Alligator mississippiensis: one gene and its partners. The protein of the gene in region 2 interacts with the protein of the main gene of each other region in a pairwise test. Links are inferred from orthologs where the notes say so. Each region holds a gene or a part of one and is shown on either strand. Other genes may lie near its edges.

What was found. The genes of interacting proteins can lie anywhere in the genome.
Region 1: the proteins of SETDB1 (region 2) and TSC22D1 interact in a two-hybrid assay, tested with the Homo sapiens proteins (2 studies listed by BioGRID and IntAct). The link is inferred for Alligator mississippiensis from reciprocal best matches to the Homo sapiens genes SETDB1 and TSC22D1.
Region 3: the proteins of SETDB1 (region 2) and MBD1 interact in binary tests that used the Homo sapiens proteins (3 or more experiments, as listed by UniProt). The link is inferred for Alligator mississippiensis from reciprocal best matches to the Homo sapiens genes SETDB1 and MBD1.

What each region holds. Positions count from the first base shown.
Region 1 is NC_081824.1:410,614,822-410,622,644, reverse strand, and holds the start of TSC22D1 (TSC22 domain family protein 1), read left to right. Parts: upstream 1-4,817; coding exon 4,818-7,696; intron 7,697-7,823. UniProt on the Homo sapiens protein: Transcriptional repressor. Acts on the C-type natriuretic peptide (CNP) promoter. Acts to promote CASP3-mediated apoptosis.
Region 2 is NC_081838.1:19,311,714-19,319,356, reverse strand, and holds the start of SETDB1 (histone-lysine N-methyltransferase SETDB1), read right to left. Parts: upstream 3,001-7,643; 5' UTR 2,986-3,000; coding exon 2,796-2,985; intron 2,447-2,795; exon of another isoform or gene 2,302-2,446; intron 1,704-2,301; coding exon 1,487-1,703; intron 761-1,486; coding exon 600-760; intron 1-599. Other genes in the region: CTXND2 (cortexin domain containing 2), read right to left, coding at 3,791-3,964. UniProt on the Homo sapiens protein: Histone methyltransferase that specifically trimethylates 'Lys-9' of histone H3. H3 'Lys-9' trimethylation represents a specific tag for epigenetic transcriptional repression by recruiting HP1 (CBX1, CBX3 and/or CBX5) proteins to methylated histones.
Region 3 is NC_081831.1:27,516,349-27,524,248, forward strand, and holds the start of MBD1 (methyl-CpG-binding domain protein 1), read right to left. Parts: upstream 3,007-7,900; 5' UTR 2,637-3,006; coding exon 2,589-2,636; intron 1-2,588. Other genes in the region: CXXC1 (CXXC-type zinc finger protein 1), read right to left, coding at 4,590-4,736, 5,424-5,576, 6,025-6,121, 6,395-6,444, 7,172-7,282, 7,499-7,706, 7,896-7,900. UniProt on the Homo sapiens protein: Transcriptional repressor that binds CpG islands in promoters where the DNA is methylated at position 5 of cytosine within CpG dinucleotides. Binding is abolished by the presence of 7-mG that is produced by DNA damage by methylmethanesulfonate (MMS).

The sequences.
Region 1 (7,823 bases), on a different chromosome or scaffold from region 2:
GATGCCAATGTTAGCCTGGCAATGTCTGGACTCATGCTAAAGGCAGTTTCATAGTTTCATAGTTATTAGGGTTGGAAGAGACCTATTAGGTCCCTTCGAGTCCAACCTCCTGCTCTGGGCAGAACAGAGCACTGGGGTCAGATGACCCCAGCCAGGTGTCTGTCCAATCTCCTTTTGGATATTTCCAAGGAAGGGGACAACACCACCTCCCTTTGTTGACCTAGCTGTAAATGGGTGCCTAGACATTCTAGCTGTGAAGTTAAAAGTAGACAGATATAATGCTACTCATATCGCTCCTTTGCATGCCTTTGCCTTCAGAAGCAGGTGTGCCTTGATCACACTAACTTGATTGGCCCTTAGATTCAAGCAAACTTTTAACTTGGTATGGATGTATTAACATTGATATTTAAACTTCTATTTTTCTTTCAGTTTCTGATTTGCAGTAGCAAAAGTACCTCCTAAAATATAAAATGACAGATAGGATGTCTAACTGTATAGGCAAAAAAAAAAAATATTTAAGCAGTTATAACTTTAGTATTTTAAAGTGTTTTTTTCAAACTTACCCAATTTCTCATTGAGTAGTAGTACTTACATACAAAATTGGAACTTCAGTCATGTTCCAGTTATTCATGTACAGTTAAATGTTTTATTACTTGTAAAGTTGGGAAAAATGTTCTGTTCCTCACTGATCATGTATCTGAAAACTGAATAGTTGGATTCTAGTCAAACATTCAGAGAAATTGGCTTTGAGCTCAGACTAATGGAAAATTTGAGCCCATTGGAGAATATTTGAGAAAGATATAAGCACTCAGAACAGGAATTTATGATGGGCCGACTTGCAACCATAGCTGCAAACATTTATGCCCATATTTAAATTTCAGCATGTGAGCAGTGCTGTTATAAGAAAACACATGTGTGTTTTCCCCCTATCCTACAATAAGCTGCCTGTGGACAGATCCTGCACTTTTTGTGAAGCTTTGCTGTAATCAGCAGAGTTCCATGCAGATTGTCTTTCTGTGACGAGTCTAATGCAGGCTTAAATGTTAGGTCTTAATATATTTTTTTCCTTATGCAGACCTGGTCTATACAGGGAAGCATTTGTAAATGTGTATATTAAGTATGTCCTGGGTATGACCATAAGCTGCATCCAACTGGAAGTCTGGTGGCAATGTGGTGGGGCTACTCGTGTGGGGGTAGCTCCTATAAAATACCACAACGCTGCAACCTCCAGAGTAAGGCAAGTATAGGGCACCTCAAAACCCTAGCCCCCACTGCCTTGTGGGCACTCCTTGGTTGGAGAAAGGCTAAGGGACATCACCCTGACAGAAGTGCGCCCTCTATGAAGTGTTAGGCAGTCAGCAGCAGTTCTTATCTGTTGCTCTCTGGCAGAAGCTAGTCATCAAGGCACTAAATGTCTGGACTCAGTTTGGCCTTTGGACGCTGTCTTAGTGGTCTAAAGAGGGGATGGCAGGCCTAGGGCAGCCTCCACTCCTCCATACTCTTGCCAAGACATGTACGTCGAAAGTGATGGTCGCAGGACTCCATACAAATGGATTCATCAGGCACCTGACTAGACCTCTTATGCGTACACTATGATCTAGAGGATCCACAGTTCCCTACTATTAATAGTTTTAAAATTCAACTGCCTTGCCTACAGTAAAGGTAAAACCAAATTTAACATGATGCTACTTAAATGTATTTTCTAACCTAATGCAATTTCCCATATATAGACAAAGGATGAGGTGCAAGAATGAACATAGGCACTACAATGTGATCAAGTGCCTAACTTGTATGGGCTGTGTCATCTAGTAGAATCCACTGTCCTCACTTGATTGCCTACGTTCCTTAGATGCATCAGAATGAGATCCACAAAGCCTGCCTGCCAAGCAGAGATCTCTGTAGCCTACAGCATGGAGGGAAAGATCTTTACCATCCAGGCTGTGTATAAAGAAGCAGATCATGTCATCTTCACATAGAGCAAGATGGTAGGAAAAGTAAAGGTGACAGATGGACGGGGAGCAAGTGCTCCCCTTTTTAGGTACTTAGTTAACTCCAGGATTGTGGGGGAGTTCTTTCCACTTGGGATTCACGATTATGAATCGTCTTCTAAAGTAATGCACATAAACCAGCTCCTTTTCACAAAACATATCTGGAAGAGGAAGTGGTGTCATTTCTCCTTTTACAACAATACTCAATAGCTCATCAAGGGTATGGGAGACAAATCCTTCCTCTGCCTGACAGGTCTTGAACCTAAATATCCTACAAGAGTGCCCTTGACATTCAGTGATGGTCTCCCCTGTTGAAGCTACTTATTTTGCATGGGATGCTTAAAAATTCAGTGGAACAGGGATTATACCCAAGCTCCTTCTCATCCCCAGTGAGCACTCTAACCACTGCAACAGAGAATATTTCTCTCACGCTGTCATCTGGATGAATTAATACTTAATTATTGCATGTAGTATGGAACAGCTTCAACAGGAAGGATTGGGCTTTCCCTCATCCCATTCCAGAATATTTTCTAGCCTGGTGGCTAGGATTCTCTCCTGGGAAGTGAAAGATATGGCTTCAAATCCTCTCTAGTACAGGAGATTTTTAAATTTGTTTCCCACATCTCACTGGATTACTGGGTAAAAGGGAGGAACTTCTTCCTCTGTCTGTTTTGTGCAGAGGCCAGTTTGATAGGGTTGATCTAACTACTAGATCAAGTTCCATAGGCAGGGCAATGTATAGATTGTGAAATCTGAGGGTCCTAGCTGGTTGGCACCGTAGGTACTTAAGAAACTTTACTGGCAAAGTATTAGGCTCCTAGGGGCTGCAGGTGCCGCTAGGGTTACATGGTAGCTGAATGAGAATTTTGAGGATCTAACCATTTTTCCTTTGACACCAGAAGTGACACTTAGGCACCAGAGAGTCCTTGTGTAAATGTAGACCAAAGTCATTGTGGGCATATAGTTGGGCGCACTCATCTTCAGCTTTCTGTTTGTATAAGAACACGGAGAGCTTTCCTCCTCTGTAGGTTGCCAGCTGTATCCACCAAGCAAAATACAAAAATGATTTCCCTTCATAGTTTAGACATCTCTTTAATTGCATCACCAGTAAGATGCAAACTTATTGCTCTGCTGCGTTTTTACAGGTATACCTGCTGTTTCAAGAAGAATTGATACATACTGCATTTTAATACAATGGACTTAAGCCACTTGAAAATAGCCGCATGTCCATGTTGGGTTTTTTTGTTGTTTTAAAGAACGCCTACCGTGAAAAGCAGCTTTGAGCATCTAGAGCAACTGAGGTTCTTCAGGTAGATGTGATATCTTTTATTAGATCAACTTTTATTAGTCCCTTCCAGCCCTAATGTCTATGAAACTTGTCTACAATAAAGGTAAAACCTATGAAACTGAATAGCATTTGATCATGTCATCCTTCACATCAAACCCTATCCACTCTGCAGCCCACAGCACGGCAGGAAGGATCTTTACGGTCCGGGCTGTGTCTAAAGCAGCAAATCATCAAATTGTACCAGCTCTGTAGCCTAGGCACTGATCTTTACCATCCAGGCTCTGAACAACGAGTTGATCTTGTACTAACAGTATGCTGGTATGGAGGAACAACTGAATTGCAAACCCTCCGGGGGGGGGGGGTGTTTTGTAATTCTCTTAGAGTTGGTTTCTCCACCTGCTTATGCTTCGTTCACGTCAGGTGCGTGGAAGTGGGTGAGGGTCCTGGGCTGGACTTCAGAAGCTCTGCCCCTAGCCCCTGCCTCCCAGCCAGCCTCCTGGAAGCAGGAATCACTCTAGAAACATCTCCCCTCGCTGCAGCGCCCGGCTCTCCCCGAGCCAATGAAGGCTGGACTCCCCCCTCCCCCAGCCCGCCCTGGGGACAGCGCAGCGAGCAGCCACATGGCAACTGCAGGCGGCTGCACAAAAGAGGCACGCGCGGGTGGAAAAATACAGCCCTGGCTCCCGGCTCAAGTTTCTTCTCCCTGACCGGGGGGAGGCAAAAAATAGCTTGAAAAAAACAGGCAGCAGAGAACCCGCATCTGCAACCGGAGACAGAGGGGCACACGAGTCGGAGTCATGCTGCAGGCAGAGGGGGGAGGGGAAGAAGCACCACCCCCACTGCAGGGGCGCGCCGAGCTGCTGGGCCACTCCGCTAATGGCCGCCGCGAAGCCCCGCCCCTCACCCGGATTGGTTGGCGCGACTTCGTCAACGCTCGGCCTTTTCCGCCGCCCGCCGTCTCCAGACGGGCTTTATGTCTGCGGGCCCCGCGCGCCTGCGCGGCCGCCATCTTAGATCAGCGCCTCCTCCTCCTCCCCCCTCCCAGCCGGCCCAGCGCCGTCCTCCAGCGCCGCGCGCGGAGCTGGGGGGACGCGCCGTGACAGGGAGCGAGCCGCCGGGCAGCGCGGCAGGCTGGAGCAGCCCGCTCGGGGCGTCTGCGCAGGCAGCGGCGCGGAGAAGGGGCTGCGCGGCGCGGCGGGGCGGTGCCGCCCCCCCCTTCGGTCTCTTTAAAGGCAACATGACTCGGCTCCATGGCTGCCACTGACGGCGATGCCCCTGCCCGGCCCCGGCCGCCCGCGCCACAGCCAGGCCCGTACGTATCCGCCCCGCCCCGCCCCGCCCGGCCGCGGCCTCGCTGCTCGCCCCGGGGGCGGCTCGGCCCGGCCTGCGCGCGCGCGCGTGTGGGGGGGGGGGTGGGTTGGGGGGGGAGGGGTGTGTGTGCGCGCGCGGTGCGCCCCGTGCCAAGCTAACTGCGTGCCTGTCTGTCTCTCCGTCTCCGTGTCTCTGCCGGGGAACCGCGCTCCTAAAATAACCCCGCTACAATGCGCCAGCCTGACTCAGCCGCAGACAGCAGCAGCAGCAGCAGCAGCGCGAGGAGGAAGATGGCGCACCCGGCGATGTTCCCTCGAAGGGGCAGCAGCAGCAGCAGCACCACTGGTAGTGGCAGCGTCCCCCCTCCCAGCGCCGGTGCCGGCGGTGTTGCCCTCTCCGCGGAGGAGTATCAGCCACCTCTGCTGGGCCAGCCGCTGCTGCCTGCGTCTCCCGCAGCAGCGTCTGCCTCGCCGGGTCCCCAGCCGGCACCTCCTCCTCCACAGAGCCTGAACCTCCTCCCGCAGGCACCGCTCCCGCAGCAGCCTCTGGGCCAGGCCGGAGCACAAATGAAGAAGAAAAGCGGCTTCCAGATCACTAGCGTGACCCCGGCCCAGATCTCGGCCAGCATCAGCTCCAACAACAGCATAGCCGAGGACACGGAAAGCTACGACGATCTGGATGAGTCCCACACGGAAGACCTGTCATCTTCCGAAATCCTGGATGTTTCGCTCTCCAGGGCCACTGACTTGGGGGAACCCGAACGGAGCTCCTCTGAAGAGACTTTAAACAACTTCCAAGAGGCTGAGACTCCAGGGGCTGTCTCTCCAAACCAGCCTCACCTTTCTCAGCAGCACCCTCCTTTGCCTCACCCTGCCCAGCAGAGCGTTGTGATCAATGGGAGTGTTCACCCGCATCACGTTCACCACCACCATCCCCTCCATCACCATGGCCATCACCATCCATCTGCTCCTGGAGTGGGCAGCACACCAGCCTCTGGAGGACCACCTCCCAGTCCATCCTTTAGAAAACTGTCCACAACTGGAAGCTCTGACAATGTTATAACAACTGCACCAGTTTCTGCTGCATCATCCACTGGTAGCCCGGCATCTGTCATGTCCAGTATCCGCACTACAAGTACTCCTGGCAATATAGGTGTGAGTCCTGTTACTGGAACTAGTACGTTAAGTAATATGGGTGGTGGTAGCTCTGGTGTGACGAGCGGCATGGCTGGTACTGTAAATTTAAACAACATTACAAGTACTGGTAACGTAAATGCTTTGTCTGGAACTGGCAGCAGTGTTAATGTGAATATCTTGAGTGGTATTGGCAATGGTACGAGTGCTTCCTCTAATGTCATTAACAATGTTACTAATCCAACAGCAGGACTGGGATCAAGTCAGCAGCAGCCTGCAGCTGGCACGTCAAGGTTTAGAGTTGTAAAATTAGATTCCAGCTCCGAACCTTTTAAAAAGGGGAGATGGACATGCACTGAATTCTATGATAAAGACAACACTGTTGCAGTTACAGAAGGAGTAGCAGTAAACAAAGCGGTAGAGACTATAAAACAAAACCCACTTGAAGTGACTTCTGAAAGGGAGAGCACCAGTGGGAGTTCTGTTAGCAGCAGTGTAAGCACACTGAGTCACTACACAGAAAGTGTGGGAAGTGGAGAAATGGGAGCACCTACTGTGGTTCAACAGCAAGCATTTCAAGGTGTGGGTCCACAGCAGATGGATTTTAGCAGTGCTGGTCCTCAGCCTATTCCAGCATCCAGTATACCACAGAGTGTTTCTCAGTCACAGCTTGCTCAAGTCCAGCTGCATGCCCAAGAAGTAAACTATTCGCAGCAAAAGCAAGGGGTCCAGCCTCCTGTGTCGGCCAGCCTAACCACCGTTACTGGAGTTCAATCAACCCCAGTTAATATAGTAGGTGTATCTTCAGCTTTAGGCCACCAACAACCTGCCATGCAGAGTATGGCTCAACAACAACTACCATATTCTCAGCCAGCACAACCTGTGCAAACTTTGCCAGTTGTACAACAGCAGCAATTACAGTATGGACAACAACAGCAGCAACAACAAGCAGTTCCTACACAGATGGCCCCAGGGCTTGTTAAACAAGTGAGTCAAAACTCTGTTACAGGGACTATGCCAGACTACATGCAACACCAACAGATACTTCAGACTTCAGCACCTGCCATGCAGTCTGGTACTACAGCAGTAGGAACAGGCACGCCAGTTCCTGTTGCTCAGGCACCAAGCATGCAGCCTTCAGTACAAGCACACCCTGCCGTGACACCAGCCCAGCCTGTTGCACATGCTCAAACAGCAATGCCAGCGGTAGGTACTAGTGGTCAGATTATGAATGTTGGACAACAAGTAAGTGTACCTACAGTTGTGCAGCAGGCACCTGGTGCAAACCAAATTCCTCCTTCAGTTATGCAACCAAGCACTGCTCCTCCAGCTTCACAAGTGGTGCAGCCTGTTCAGACTGGGATAATGCAGCAAGGACTACAGTCTGGTGGCCCAAGCCTTCCTCAGCAAATGATCATTGCTCAGCAAAGTACTTTGTTACCTGTACAACCACAGGCACAGGCCGTAGAATCTGTAGCGCAAGGAATGACCAGCCAGCAGTTGCCTGCAGTTAGTCCTATACCTTCTGCTAGTACTGTTCCTGCTCCAAGCCAACCTAGTTCAAATATCCCTCCTGGTATACCTTCTGCTTCTATAAGTATGGGTCCACCACACAATATAGCACAAGCTTCAACTGTACAAAATGGGAATTTGGTTCAAAGTGTTGCTCAGCCTTCCGTGATATCAACAAGTATAGGTATGCCAGTAGCACCAAGTGTGCCGCAACAGGTACCACTAAGCTCCACCCAGTTCCCTGCACAGTCACTAACTCAGTCAATTGTAAGCCAAATTGAAGATGGCAGGCGCCCTACAGAGCCTTCCTTAGTTGGTTTACCTCAAGCTGCTAGTGGTGAAAGTGGTGTTGGAGCATCAGGTCTTTCAGATGGGAGTGGCAGCAGCATAACGTCCTCTGCTTCCCTTTTTCCTCTGAAGGTACTGCCGCTGACAACACACCTTGTTGATGGTGAGGATGAGAGGTAAGAACATGTCAACTTTACAAATGGGCTATATATCCCTTTTGTATATGTTAACTAGCAGTTGCCATGCAACTATGTCACAAAATGAAGTACAATATTGTATGCACAGTTTTAATACTTTTATTTT
Region 2 (7,643 bases):
ACTTAACATGCAGAAGGACTGGAGGCTGAGTGAATCCTTCCAGGGTTAAAACCTGGCATTCCAAGGAGTTCTAGTTTATTGAGCAGAGGTGATGGCTACTCAGCTACCTCCTTGCCATAGGAAGCCCTTATAAACAGAAGCTTTAACACAAAGGCGAAGCCAAATGCTTGCACTCCTTACTGACTTCAAAGAGAATTTGAGCCCTCAGGATAGCAGGTCATAGTCCAGATTCTTCCTCGATTTTTAAAGTTTTTTTGGCGATGTAAGGCTTTATCCCATTTTGCCCTCTCCGCTCCCCAACAACAGGCCACACCTTTGGGATGACTCAACATCCCCCTGGCCACTGGATCCTGGAGGCAGCTTAGCAAGACCAGGAGCAGCAGGAGGCTGGGTAAGAGGGATTCATGTAAGAGCTTTCCATTCTGTTCAGGCTGCACTGACTTTGCAAGCACCACCCTATTTACTTGCCCCAAGGGAGCCTTCCTTCTGAGCCTCCCGGGTGTGAGGAACAGTGGTGCCAGTGTATAGCAGACTGTTCCTTCACATCTCCCTCCCCACAAACCCCACCGCCATAGGGAACACAGAACTGCATTTCCAACCTGAATCCACGCTCATGACATCATCATCATCCTCGTCTGGAATTTCAATCACTTCCGTGGGCTTGGAAGCCGAGTCCTCATCTTCAGAGCTGCTCTCACGATACTGAAGCCCTAGCTTGGAGTAGAGATCTTTTACCAGCACCTCACATTTATTGATGGCTCTGCGGTACAGCGGGAAAAAAGGAGGAAGCAGAGACAGATCCATGGTGAGTGCAGCTGTTATCTCTACAGTAATCACAAAAAGAAGAGACATTTTTGCATAGCAGCATCTGGGGCTACTCAGCAGCTGGTGCTCCCTTAAATCACTCAGCAGAAATAGGACATAGCCTCAATCATAACTGGAGATTCAAAGCCACGGCAAAAAGATCTTAGCCATCCATCTCTGAGAGTTACGCATGTCGACAACTGAATACCGCACCACATGGTTCTTGAACCCCTCCTGGAAAAGTCTGGCTGCAGGAATACTGCCAAAAAAGTCAGCGGTAGAGCAGGAAATAGGAACTGGGGGTGCCTACATACGAGCAGTGAGGCTGCTCTGACATGCTGTAATTATAGCTCATCAGAGTAGACTGGATTGAGTCTGCTGGAGCATGGTAATTACTGCACTCCAGCAGCCTCCAGCATCTCATGTATCCGTGTCCCCCCACTTAAAAATGGTGGCAGGGGCTCATTCGACAAGCTTTAGATAAAGTGCCCTGCCACCATTTTTAAGCACAGGGACACTGATGTGCAAGATGCTCTGGGCACTTTAATTAAAGCGACGCTTGTAGCCGCTCCACTTAAAGCGCTTCCCCTGAGCATGTGTATAAACGCCCTTTGAGTCCAGACACCCTAGTCCTTGCTCTGCCCATTCCGCCAGACACCAGCACAAAGCCGCCACTGCCCACCTTGAGGCGTCATCAAAGAGCTGGTCCACGTGAGCTACTTCTGCCTCTTTCTGCTTAACGTTCTTTTCCAGCTCTTCCAGCTGCTTCTTTCGTTGCTTCACGCACTCGAGTTTCTCCAGCTCCTCGTCAATGAACTGCTGGAGATCTTCCATGGAGATGCCCAGCTCCTCCATCACTTCCTGCTGCAGCTCTCCAATCTCCTGGGAATCCATTTCTGCTGAGAGTGAAGCCAGGAGGAGATAAGAGGCTCGTGAGCTTTCCAAACCACGTTGTACATTCCCTGATCTGCAGCTTTAGTATTTTTTTCTCTCTCTTGTATTGAGTACACCACACAGCCTCCTCAACTCACTCATGGGGAAGAGATAAGTGCTTCACTTAAAGCTATGAGCCTGGTTACCTGGACACCTTATTTAGGTGAAAACTGCCTGCCCTGGCAATGCTTGCTGCTGCGTGAAAGCAAACTGCTGCTCAAAGCAACTTGATGGAACAAGCCATGAAGTCTGCTTTATGTTTACGGCATCCTTTCATCTACGAGAGACAGTGGATGCTGCAGCCTATGATGCAGATGGCTTGCAATGTCTCATGTGACTGAATAGTTTGATCTGAGATCTGCATGATCTGTGGCCAAGAAATCAAAACGTATCTAATGCCATTACACAGCACAAAGCTTCTCTCCAGCTCAGGAGTTATGGAGGCTGCTTTGGAAACGGTGCCTGAGCACATCACACAGGTGACAGCTCAGACAGCAGCACCTGGCGCCCCTGGAGCGGGTTGGAGTCCTATGGAGAAACACTGCGTTTCCGTGCGGGCAGCACCTGGTAGCGCCAGCGCAGCGGCCAGGGAGACGCCTACCACAGTGGGTGGGCAGACAGACGAGAGAGCTGGGGGCACGGCAGAAGTCAGTCCCAGCTTGGGCAGCGTCTCCCCTCCCTCTCCTCTGCCTCCTCCGTTGTGCCCTCTCCACCCTCAGCAGCCTCCTGGCCAAGCCCCCTGCCCCCTACTCCCAGGCTCCTATTGCCCCCTTCAGCCCCTGGCTCCAAGCCCCGCCCCCTGACACTAGGCCCCACCCCCTATTGTCCCTGACTGTCCTATACAGGCCCCTGGCTAAAGGCCCCGCCCGCAGCCCCGTTTCCGCTAACTGCCCCTACAGGCCCCTGGCCCCAAGCCCCGCCCCACCCCTTAGGTCCCGCCCCAAGCCCCGCCTCCTAGTTCCTCCGGGTGCCCTACAGTCCCCGGCCCCGTCCGTAGCCCACTGCAGCGGATACCCCCGGCCTCCGCCAGCCCCGCCGCAGCCCCCGGCCGCGCTCACCGCTCCCTGCAACGCGGCTGGCGAGGGCCGGGCTCCTTTCCAGGGCGCTGCACTGAGGGGCCCCGACACCACTTCCGGCGACGGTGGCCCGAGCGGACCAAACCTCCCCTCGAGAGGCGGCCGCGAAAGCAGGGGACAGCACTACACAGGCACTCTCGGGCGGAAATACCTCCGCGGCGCCAGCGCGCATGCGCTTAGGCCAGCTAGTTAAAGGTGTAGCAGCTATGTTTGGTGTCGGTCGGTCTGATCGGAGAGAGGAGGTTTCTTAAAGGGGCAGTGTAGGGGTGGAGGCTTTGGGGCTCAAGGTGATAGAGTGAGTCAGTGGCAGAGCCAGGAATGGACTCCAGGACTAGTTCCTGGCTGGCCAGCTCGGGCACCTCCCCTGAAGTCCCTGGGGACCATTCACGGGAGAGGACTGAATGCCAGACCCCAGGGTAGGTTCCCGGAGGGGCTGCGTCCTGCCCTTGCTGTAGAGCCTGGTCCGCTCTGGAGTAACAACCTACTGCTGCTGGTACTGCAGGGTCTCTTCCATGGGCTTGAGTGGTCTGGACTCCACAGCCCAGATGCCCTGGGTTGCAAGCCTCTGTAGCCCCTGCATCATGGGCATGGGGCAGTACCTGAGCCCTGTGTGCGGAGAAAGAAGAGACCCTCATGTGGAGGATGCCGGTCACCTCCTGCAGAGCTGCCCATTGCAATGGGTGCAGTAGTACAGGGTGGAAGGCACCAGGTCCCTGCACCCTGCCCGGACCCCAGCTTCTCCCACCTCATCAGGCTGCTGTGGCAGGGGATGCTCACCTCCCCAAGATGGCACAAAGCTGGCATCATGACATCCTCCCCTGCAGGCTTCGTCCTCAAAGCCAGCACAACTGCAGGCAGAGTTGAAAGCAGGGGATCATCGCTCTGCTGTAGCAACAGGGATGACCAGGATGGCAGGAGCCTGAAGAGCTCACTTCACGGAGCTTGACTGCCAACTACCCACCTGTGTAGGCTGCCGATCAGTTGATCTGCTCCTCCTCCCAGGTGGAGGTGGGGATGGCACGGTAGGGGTCCACCACCAGCCTGGCGCACCGCACCATCATGGCCATCAAGAAGAGGCACATGAGCACGACAAAGCCGATGGCGAAGCCCTTGTCTACGTCGACGTACGGCTGCACGGTGGCGCTCTCCATAGGGCCCTGGAGGCGCTCTCACGCCTGGAGCAGCCCCTGGGGCCTGGTTGCTGCCTGCAGGGCACAGTAGGGGATGGGGAATTAGCACTGCTGAGTGGGGCACAGCTGTACCAGGGAAGCATCAGGTCTCTGCCACAGCCTGGCTCATCATGGGAATGGGAGCACTGTGGCAGTGCTAAGTGGCAGTGCCTGCTGTCTCCATTGTCCATTATCTCCAGCCCCAGGTGAGAAGCATGTCCTTGCACTTACTCCCAGGATGGTGAGCTCATCCCCTTAAGCAGCTCCCAGGGGGCTGGGGGATCCCTGCCTGCTGTGCCAGCCACATGCCCAGCCTCTTGGCAAGGGACAACCCTTACCCACTATGCCTCTAATTTAGTTGGTCTAGTGATTCTCAGCCAGGGTGCCATGGCACTTTGGGGGGGGCCTTGAGATCTTTTCAAGGATGCCGTGGGGTGCTACATAATGTTCTCACTGTTGTGTACAAATGTGATTCACAGGATAAACCCAGAGATTTCGCATAAGAATCCAGAGCATCAAAAACGTCTTGCCCTCATGTGGGCTTTCTGGGTTCTTTGCAACAGAAGAATTGCTTTAGTATTTTTCCTTAGTTAAAAAATTAGTGAAAACAAAGCTGGTGTTTTTTGAGCAGGGCTTCAAACCTGTCAAGGGGTGCCTTGCATCTAAAAAGTTTGAGAACCACTGACTTGGCTTACAAGGTACAACTCTACCCTGTCTTTTAGCACTTATCTCTGGGCATGGGTGCTCAGGAACAGGTGAAGTTCCCTGATGGGTTACCAGGGGGCAGGGAAGGTGGCTGAGATGATGGGAGATGGATGATGGGAACAGCATCATGAGTTCAAAGTGGCAGAGTGGGAAGCTTCTCACCAATCTGCAACCCGCTAGGCTATGGCCCTGTGCCCTCTCCTGCTCCAGCTGTCTGCCCCCCCCCCCCTTTGTCAAGGAGAGAATTGGAGTAAATTAGAGCAGCCTTCAAGATGCTCCTTCACTTAGCTGCTTGCGGCCCCAGGGCCAGAGGTGAGCAGTGAGCCTGGTAACGCTGCAGTGCATCCAGGGCTGAGTCTGGGGAAGCCCAGGCAGGTGATGGACTTTGGCTCTCTTTTGGATGTTGTTGCTAAATCTCCTTGATCCTTAATTATAACTAGGGCTTCTTTGGCAATCCTTAGCAGATTAGATTGGATTGAATTGGACAATATCATGTTATCAGGCATTGGTTTATTAAATGCTGGCATGTTCCAGATAGAGATGAGGCAAATTGTTTAACAGTGAGAGCGCTTGACCCCTGAGACCAACAGCTGGGGAGGGAGGCTCTGATCAAGACTGGAGCCTTGATGGAAGACCAAGTTAAGCCGCCAAAGGTGTTGCTATCTCTGCAGGAGTTCCAGGATGTAATGCCAAAGCTCAGAAGAGATGATCTATTGCAGGGGTTTGAAACACCCCATGCACTGGGCTGGATCTGACTGGCAGGTCGGCAGTGCTGGGTGATAGAATCATAGAATTGAAGGACCGGAATAGACCTGCAAGATCATCAAGTCCGGTCCCCCATCGTGGGCAGGAAATTATTGGGCTCAGACAAGCTCAGCAAGGTGCTTGTCCAGTCGCATTTTGAACACCTCCAAGATGAGGTATAGCAGACCCCACACTTGGCTTGCCTTGCCCCCAGCTTCTCAGCCCCTCCAGCTATGAGCTGGAGCCCATGGGCCATATATTTGACACCCCTGATCTAATGGATACTTTTGATCTTAACAAAAAAGGAACAGGACTAGGAACAACAGCCTCAAGCTGCAGCAGGGGAAATTGAGGTCAGAAATGAGGAACTTTCTGATTCTGAAGGTGGTGAAGCATTGGAACAGGCTGCCTAGAGAAGTAGTGGAGTCTCCATCCTTGGAAGTTGTCAACAGCAGGTTGGACAGACGTTTGGTTGGGGTTATTTAGTCAGGGATGCTCCTGCCTCGAATAGGGGGCTGGACTAGATGTGGCCCTGTGAGGTCCCTTCCAGCCTGACTTTCCTAGGATCTCTCGCAACCCCTTTTCTGTGATGTCAGTTCAAGGTGCTTGGCTAGGGCATGTGGACAGGATTAGGTTCATGCAGGTGCCAATAAGCTTCATTACCTGCTGGAATCGAGATAACAGGCTTGTATTTCTATATTACAAGGCAATGCACAAATGTGGTGTGAAGGATCTGAGGCACTGTTGCAGGCTCACAAGCGCGAGAGGTCCATAAAGGCTAGGAACGGGCATTGCGTTTGTCCCTGAACATGTTTTGCCCATGTTTGTCTTGGGATTGGCACGAATACACATCACCTTTTCCACTGGGGTTTAGTGAGCAGCTAAATGTACTGCTGCTTTTCTGCCATTGATTCAATTATATAATCCCAGGCCATCTGTTCAAACACATTTTTGCGATGTCTTGGGAGCAGAGCAGCAGATCAAGCGAGGGAAGAGGATCCAAGTGACAGGATGTATGACTTACCTTATGGCAGGTCTGCCATTCATTTGACCCCACTGGATTAACTGAATCAGAGAGACATCAGCTTTCATGCATACAGTCTCACTTCATCAGATGCTGTATGAGCTCTTGCTCATGAAAGCTGATGCCTCTCTGATTCAGTTAGTCTGTAAGGTGCATCTCTGCCCTGCCTTCTGCTACGTAGCTGCTACTTCAGACCCATGAATCTACCTACCTCTCTTCCCATAACAGGCTAAATTTTCTCAGTGAATAACAGAGCCTTTTACTAAACAAATCGAACATTTACCACCAAAATCTAGGCCTAGCCTACACTGGAAAGAACAGGCCTGTATAGCAAACCATTCTGGTCCAGCTGTGGGTTATTGCTGTAAAAGAATACTGCTCATGCCCATTTGTGGGAGGAAATAAGCCATGCTACCAAGGGAATTTTTTTGAGTGCTCTATGACTGCATTTTCTCTTTACCTTTGCCTAGGTGAATGCAGTGTCTTTCTTTTTGTACTCCTGACAGAGCCTGGCAGGCAAAGCTGTTGGGTGTAGATCAGTGGTTCTCTACCTTTTTAGACTCTACCACCTTGCCTTGGGAAATGCCAGCTTTTTGCTCTCACTCGTTTTTGATGCCAGAAAAATGCTAGAGCAATTCTTGTGGTGCAGAGAACTCAGAGAGCCCACAGCAGGGCAGAGCATTTGTGACACTAATGGATTCCTATTTGAAATCTCTGGGTGTGCGTTGTGTGTAAGTGTTTGCATGCCTACCAGGGCTAATACTGCGTGGCACCCTTAAAAGGATCTCTCGGTACCCCAGAGTACAGTTGAGAATCACTGGTGTCGATGCACGGAGCAGGCTTCAATGCTTTGGACTATTGATGAAATCTTTTGATTTGAAGCTTTGGGTATTCTTTTGTGACTTTGTTATTGATCTGCCATTCTTTTCAGTGATGGTTGCATTTTGGGCCCCTATATTCTGTGTGAATGAGTGGAAAATGGCCCTTCTTTTAGCCTTACTACTTTTCCTTATTTTTGAAATTCTGTTCTAAACACAAAAGTATCAGGTTGTTTGCTAACAATTCCCCTACAGCGGTGATTCTCAGCCATGGTGCTGTGACACCGTGGGGTATCTTGAGGTCCTTTCAAGGGCGCTGCAGGGTGCCCCTCAATGTTAGCACTGGTCACTGTGCAAACGTGATTTGTGA
Region 3 (7,900 bases), on a different chromosome or scaffold from region 2:
CCTGCCCCTCCAACCCACCCACACCCAGGCAAAACCAGGACTCCAAGGCTCAAGCCCCACCCCTTCAGCAGGGAAGGGAGATAAACAAGGCGGGTAGGGTCACGGGGAAGGATCTGTGGGGGGGGGGGAAATCTGCAGCACTCCCCCATGGAGCCACCCACATACATACCCCCATGCCAGCCCACAGCAGTGCCCCCAGGCCCCAGCCCTTATTCACTGGACAGAAGACAGCCCTAGACAGACTCAGTGGCAGGCACTTCCTGGCCCAGATCAGGGCTGAGCCCAACCCCCCACCACCACCACCACCACCACCACCACCACCACCACGGTGTCCTGCCCCCGAACTCTGCCCTGCCCCCAGGCCCCGAACTGCCACCCCCCTCCCATCCACACACATACCCCACCTAGCACCCCTGGCCCTTGGGCAGACCCCCGCAGCTGTCTGGCCTCAATTCTCCCTCCTCTGTACCTCCCAAACCTTGGTCCCACACCCCACCTTTGTTCCCTCCTTTCTCCCAGGGGTACCAAACACCCTCCAGGCTACCCACTCCCTTCCCTCTTCACCCCAAGGGCTACATGTCCTTGCTCCCACAACCCTCCTGGGATGCCAAACACACACCCATCCCCACCAGGCAACTGCCAGAAACCTACTGCATCTCAGCCTCCGTCCACCCTGACAAGTCTGCACCCCACCCCCCACAACTCCCCACCTCTCACAGCCCCAATTGCCCCCTTCCCCCAGCACAATAGCTCTCCCTACAATTCCCCATGTACCCCCTCCATCCCCCCAAAGGCTCTCCCATAACTACCCCCAGTCCTGTTCCTCACAGCACCTGCCACCACCCCTCCCCCTCACACCCCCCAGCCCTCCCAAACATGCACCCCCTCCCCTAAAAGCCCTCCCCCCCAACCTGCTCCTCACAGCCCCCACCCCCCACACACACACACACACACACACAATTGTGCTTCACATCACATCCCTCCTTCAGGTCCCTCCTCTCCTTCAGGGCTGCCAAATATGAAGCCCCTCCCCCAAGTCCCTCAACCCCTTCACCCTCGGCTGCCCCCCACATCAGACCCCCCACCCCAAGGGCTGTCAAACACATGCTCCTCCTCCAACAGTCCCCCAAACAACTGCCCGTCCTCACAAGGGCTGCTGAACCTGTCCTCCTGCCCCACAGAGCCCTTCCCCGTCAGCCCCAGCCCTCCTCTCCACAGCCCCCCCCTCAGCCTTTCCTGCCCCAAATAACTGCCCTCCAACAGCTCCTCAAGCGACTGTTCCTGCTCTTCCCTCACACACACACACAAAGAGTACCCCCCACAAACCCCCCAGTAAAACTGCACCACCACACCTCTCCCACCAGGGCAGCTAAACCCCCACACACACACCCCCCTCAGCTCCCCAGGGCTGTCAAACCTGCCCTCTCCCCTGGCACTGCCCCCCATTCCTCTCAGCCTCCTTACAACTGCCCCCAAACCTCTCCCCCACACATACACACACACACACAACTGCCCCTTCCCCCTCCGCTGCCCCCCCTCTGCTGCCAAACACACCCCTCCCCTCCAACCAGCCCCCATCTACTTCTCAAGGCCCCCCCCCTTTCCCAGGTTGCCAAACATGCTCCCGCTACCCAAAACAGCCACCCCCACAGCTGCTCCTTACAGCTCCCCTCCCTACACACCTGTCCCCAACCCTCCCCCACACACACACCTGCAGCCCCTCAACCCCCCCCCAGGGCTGCTGAACCTGCCCCCCCCCCAACAACCCTCCAACTACTCCTAACTGCCCCCACCCCTCCCCCCTCATACACCAAGCCCCCAAGGACCAGGAGTGCTAGGAGGTGTGTGTAGGGGGGCAGGTCAGGGCCTGGGGGAGGGGAAGAGTTTAGACACCCTCACACACAGAACTGCCTCTGCTCACTCACAACTTCCCCCAGGCTGCCAGATGTTCACTGCCCCCCCCTCCCCAAGCTTCTCCTTACAGCACCCCCACACAGCAGTCCTGTTTCCCCTCACACCCCCCACATCTGCTGAACCTGCCCCCCTCCCAACAGCCCCTACCTCACTCCTCCCTCAGACAGCTGCCCCCATCATGTCTCCTCCAGAACTGCCAAACACACCCCCAGAGCTGCTCCCCCAGCCCACCAGGGCTGCCAAACATGCGCACCTCCCCCCAAACAGGCCCCCAGCACTGCTCACCAGCCCCCCACTGCCTGCACAGCCCCTAACCTGTCCTCCTTCACAATAACCCTCTATGTACACCTCACAGGTACCCACAACACCTCTTCCCCTGCCCACCCACAGCCCCCAGGGTAGCCAAGCAATTCTTGCCTCCCCCAGTTGCCCATCACACCCCACTCCACAAACAGCGACCCAAGGGCTTCCCCTCCCAGCGCCCCCTCGACATCCGCCTCCTCCATCCCCCTCACAGCCCCCCCCCCCGCTCAATAAGCCTCTATCGACTCTCCACAGGCCCCCACGCACCACCCCGCCCCCCACCTCCTCACGGTTCACAGTTCCCCGCGGCCGCCAGGCGCACCCCAACCGTCCGCCACAACTGCGCCTCCATTGCCCTCACACCCGCTCACCGCTCTGGGGGCCGTCGGCCCGAGCGGCCCCCGCCGCCTCCGCGCCATGGCCGTGCCCACTGTGGTTGAGCCGGGCAGTTAACGGCCGCCGCGCGCGAGCGTTCCCCGGGGAGGGGAGGGGCGGGGCGGGGGGAAGGGAGGGTGCAGAGGCGGCTGCGGAGGCTCGCGCCGGAAGCGGAAGCGGCGCCCGCGCAAGACCGAGGAAGGGGAGCAAGTGGGAAGAGGCGGGTGCGGCCACGTGACCCGCGGAGGAGGAGCCGAGCAAGTGACGTAACGAGAGGCTCAGCGTGAACACCTGACCCGGGGATATGGGGCACGTGACCCTTGGGAGAGGTGGGAATGCACACGGGCCCCGACGGGAAAGGGGCAGGGCTTTCCACCCAGGCCACGCCCACAGCAAAGAGGCGGGCTAGTGGGCGGTAGCAGTGGGCAGGCACCACAGTGCCTTTATGGGAGCATGGGGAGGGCAACCTCCCTTTCCATGTCCCCCTGCCCCCGCCCTCACCAGTGTCCCCTACTCCCCAGTATAATCCCCATACATTCCAGTGCTCCCCTACACACACCCCTCTCCCCAGGGGGTCACTACCCCCAGACCCCAACACACAGACCCAAGGCAGCTCGTTAACTGGCCAACTTTATTAACTAGGGTCACCCCCTGCCTCTCCCCCCCCCCCAATGCCAGGAGGAGGACAGGAGGGCACTTAGAAACAGCACGGACCCAGAGATCCACTCCCCCCAAAGTGCAGGTGATGGGGGCATATACCTGCCCCTGTCCCCTGGGCTAGGAATCAGCCCCCTCATAACAGGGGGGAACAGGGGCCCAGCTCAGGCTCTTCCTATGGCAGAGACAAGGATAGGGCTGCAGTAGTCATTCATGCCTCTCCCCAGTTAGGCCAGGGGTAGGGATGGGGGAAATACCTTGCTCCCCCCTCAGACCCCACCACCACTTCCTTTTTTTTATTATTCAAAATTTGTAAGAAAGAGGAAGAGAAAAAAAAGTATAAAGAAAAACTGAGTTAAAAAAATAAAGGATCAGAGCTGTTCGAGCACCCGGCATCACCTCACAGGGACCCTGAGGGGAGAAAGAAAGAGGGGTGTCAGAGGGGGCTTGGGACTGGAATACAGCCAGCTCTGGGGTGGAAGAGCTAGGAAACAGCCAAGTATAATACTGCATGGGGAGAACCGAGATGCAGGCAGCTCTGGAGTGCAGATGGGAATGGATGGGTTTAATGCCCCAGATGGAGGGCTGAGACACCACTGGCTCTGGGGTAAAACAGCTGGGGACTGGCAGAGCATAACACTGCATGGAGATGGACAGGATGCAGTGAAGCTCTAGGGTGCAGCATCTGAGGAATGCCTAGACATAATGCTGCATAGCAAGGGCCTAGATGCAGCTAGCCCCGGGGTGCAGCAATTTGCAAACGGCTCAGTACAACACTACATAGCAAGAACTGAGATGCGGCCAGCTTTGGGGTGGAGCAGCTTGGGAACAGTGGAGTATAACACTGTATAGCAAAGCTTGAGACGTGGCTGACTCTGAGGTTAAGCAGCCAAGTGTAACAACACGTGTGGGAAGGAAAGATGCAACCAGCTCTGGGGTAGGACAGCTGAGCGTAACACCAAAAGGGAAAGGTAAGTCACAGCTGGCTCTGGCATAAAACAGCCAAGAATGGCCAGGTAGAATGCTGCATAACAAGGGCCAAGATGTAGCCAAGCTCTGGGGAGGAACTGCTGGGAAATGGATGAATATAATACTGCATAGCAAGAGCCGAGATGCTGCCAGCTCTGGGGTGGAATGGCTAATTATAACACTGCATACAAAGGCCCCAGATCTGGGTTGGCAGTGGTGCATGGGGGGGGGGGCAGGGGCCTGTGGGGAGTTGGCAGAGGCTTATTGGTGGAGGGTGGGAGTGGGCAGCCCTGGGTAGCTATGAGGGGAATAGAGAAGGCAAGTTTTCAGTGCCCCCCCTCCTGTGCCCAGCCCCCGCCCCAAGCTCACAGTCAGCGGCGGGCAGCACTGCGCAGGTCAGTGGTGAGCGGGTCATGCTGGATGGTCTGGTGCAGCATGAGTGCCAGCAGCCCTGCCCGGTTCGTCATGGCTGCCCGCACATTGCGCTCCTGCTCAAACAGCTCGTCCAACTTGTACCACTGTGAGGGGAGGAGGGAGGGTGAATGCCCATGATCCTGCTCTCCTGCCCCATGGGCTGTACCAAGTGTGTATAGTCTAGCCCCTACTGTGGGATGTACCACCTAGTCGACATCCAGGCCCTGCCCCCCCAGCCAAGACAAAGTGGCTACACCAGACCTGACCCTCTGCGGGCTGTACCACATGCATGCCTCATATGGGCCATACCACATGGCCCTGGCCATACCAAGCAACCATAATCTGGGCCACACCCTCTGTTGGGCCCATAAACCAAAGCCCCATCCCCCCAGGCAGGCTGTACCCTGAGCACCCCCACCATGGGCAGTACCATATGGCTGTACCACATGACCATCCTCAGCCCCTGCCCTTAGGTGTGAACCATACCCCAAAGCTGTGCCCTTGGCCCCACCCTCCATGTAGGCCATACCATACAGACATCCCCACACCAGCCCTGCTAACCCTGTGGGCTGCACCACAAAGCCATATCCCAGGCCCACCCCATGGACTGTATCATAGATCTATCCCCCAGACCTCCCCGACCCCATGTGGGCTCTACCAAGTAGCCAATCCAAGGCCCCACCCCTCCATTTGGGCTATACCACCTGAATCTCAGGCCAGGCCCCGCAAGTGGTCCATACCACACAGTCACTCCCAAAGCCCTGCCCCTCCCCCACTCCAGTGGGCCGTACCACACGGACACGCTCCAGGTCAACTTCTGCGCGCCGCAGCTTCTCCCAGCAGTAGTGCCGGTTGCACTTGCGCTTGGGCACACGGCAGAAATCGCCTGTCAGCTCGAAGACGTCCCGCACCAGTGGGCACCCGCACACCTCGTCCGCGGGCACCTGGGGGGAGCAGGAAGGGGGACAAAGGAGAGGGTCAGGGAACTGCTGGCCCCACCTACCACCTCCAGGCCCCACCAATGATCCCCATCCCTCCCTCCTTCCCAGCCCACCTCAGGCCCTGCCTACAGGTTTGCAACAGCCCCACTCCTCTATACCCAATCTATTAAGCCCCACCCACACCCTTGGCCCCACCCACAACCCCTCCAGTGTCACCCCCTCCCCCCCAACCACAACTATAGTCTCTACTGCTCACCTTTCAACCAGTGCTGCACCCCACACAGGCCTCTACTGCCCCCAGCCCCATGGTGGCCACCTCACTCCTGACCCCCCCTCCAAGGCTCTGCAGTGGCCCTCACTACCAACCCACAGCACCCCCCACACACACACACTCACCACCCCCCCCCCCATGGTGCCCCTCACTTTCAACCTTCAGCTCCCCATCCTCTACCTTGGGGTCACGGGAGTGCTCGGGACACAACACCTGCAGCCGCTTGCAGTACGTCTTGCTTTGGGGGTTGTAGACGTCACAGAACAGGCGGGTGGCCCTAGGGACATGGAGAGAGGGGACAGATGGATGAGGGGTTCCATGGGACCAGCAAGCTCCCAGCTCATACCTCCCAGCCCCTGTTCCCCTCCCAGAGAACCCCCAGGCATCTGAAAGGAAATGAGAAGCAGTAGAGAGGGGAACACTGTAATGTAGGTAGGAACCAAAGTTTGGGCTTGGTGGGATGGGGGCAGTTGGGGAAGACAAACAACCAGAATTCACATAGCCCTTGGGAAAAGAATATGCTGGACACACCCCAGTGGTCCCAACTCACCCCTCGATGCGGGTGGGGTACATGGATCCAAAGGACGTCTGGCTCTCATACTGCAGAGAAGGGTGAGCAAAGAGTGGGGGTTACAGTGGAAGGGACACCTTACAGGGGCCTTGCCAAGTGCCAAGATGCAACCAGCTCTGGGGTGTAGGACAGCTAGGAAACAGCTGAGCATAACACCGTGTAGGGAGGGCTAAGATGCAACTGACTCTGGGGTGGAATGGCTGAGGATAGGCCGAATGCAGCACTACACAGGGATGGCTAAAATTTGGCCATCTCTGGGACTGGATGGCTGGGGAATAGCTGAATATAACAATGCACTGGGAAGGCCAAGTGCCCAGCTCTGGGCTGGAACACTTGCGTATAACACTGCATGGGAAGGGCTGAGATGTGCCCAGCTCTGGGCTGGGATGGCTAGGGAACAGCAGAGTTTAACACTGAACTGGCAAGGCTGAGATGCAGCCAGCTCTGGGATGGAACATCCAGAGAACAGCTAAGAATAATAATACTGTATACAGAGGGCTGAGATGCAGCCAACTCTGGGGTGGGACAGCTTGGGAACAACAGGAGTATAATGCTGTATAGGAAAGGCTGACATATGGCCAGCTGTGGGGTGGAACTGCTGAGAACACTGCATAGGGATGGCTGAGATGCTCCCAGGTCTGGGCTGGAATGGATGGGAAATGGCCAGGTATAACGCTGCACAGGGAGGGCCGAGATGCGGCCAGCTCTGGGGTGCAGCACCCGGACCAGCCAAGTATAATGCAGAAGACAGAGTACCTTGGCATAGCACCGCTCCATGTGACGCAGAGCCACCTTGGGGTTGATGGGGTGCCCACAGGAGACGCAAAAGATCTGCAGGTCCGTGTCCTCACTGTCCCCCTCGTTGCTCTGGGGGAGATGGGGAGGGAGGGAAAAATGGAAGGTGAACCCAAGCATCTGAGATCCCAGCCCCACCTGATCAAAGGTCCCAGGCTCCTCCTCCCTTCCCAGAGAACTCACATGTTTGGGCTCCCAGGACCTCCTGCTCTCACCCTACAGCCTCCACTCCCCCCCCACCCCCACCTATCCTGGGCAAGGGACCCTGGTGTCCAGGCATACACCCACCTCCTCATCCTCCTTGATAGCCTGCTGCTTAGCCCGAGCAATGACAGCCTCCAGCTCATGGAAGCGGCGCTCCATATCCTGCAACCGCAGCCGGGCGCCCTGCTGCTCCCGCCGGATGCGCTCCAGCAGCTTCTTGCCGTGCTCCTCAGCCACGCATGGGCTCTGCTGCCACTGCTGGATGCGCTGCGGCAAGATCTCATAGATTCGGCTGAGGGAGAAGGAGCAGGGGGAAGCATCAGGAGCTGGACACTGGGCTAGCTAATGGAGGGGGATCCAAGGGATCCTCAAAGCCAGGTGGACCCCCCACCTCCCCTACAGAGGGAAGGGGCAAGAGATAGACATAAAAAGGGGAGCCCAGGGGCGTGGGGACTTCTCTAAGGGGGGGGGCAGGGCTTACTTGGC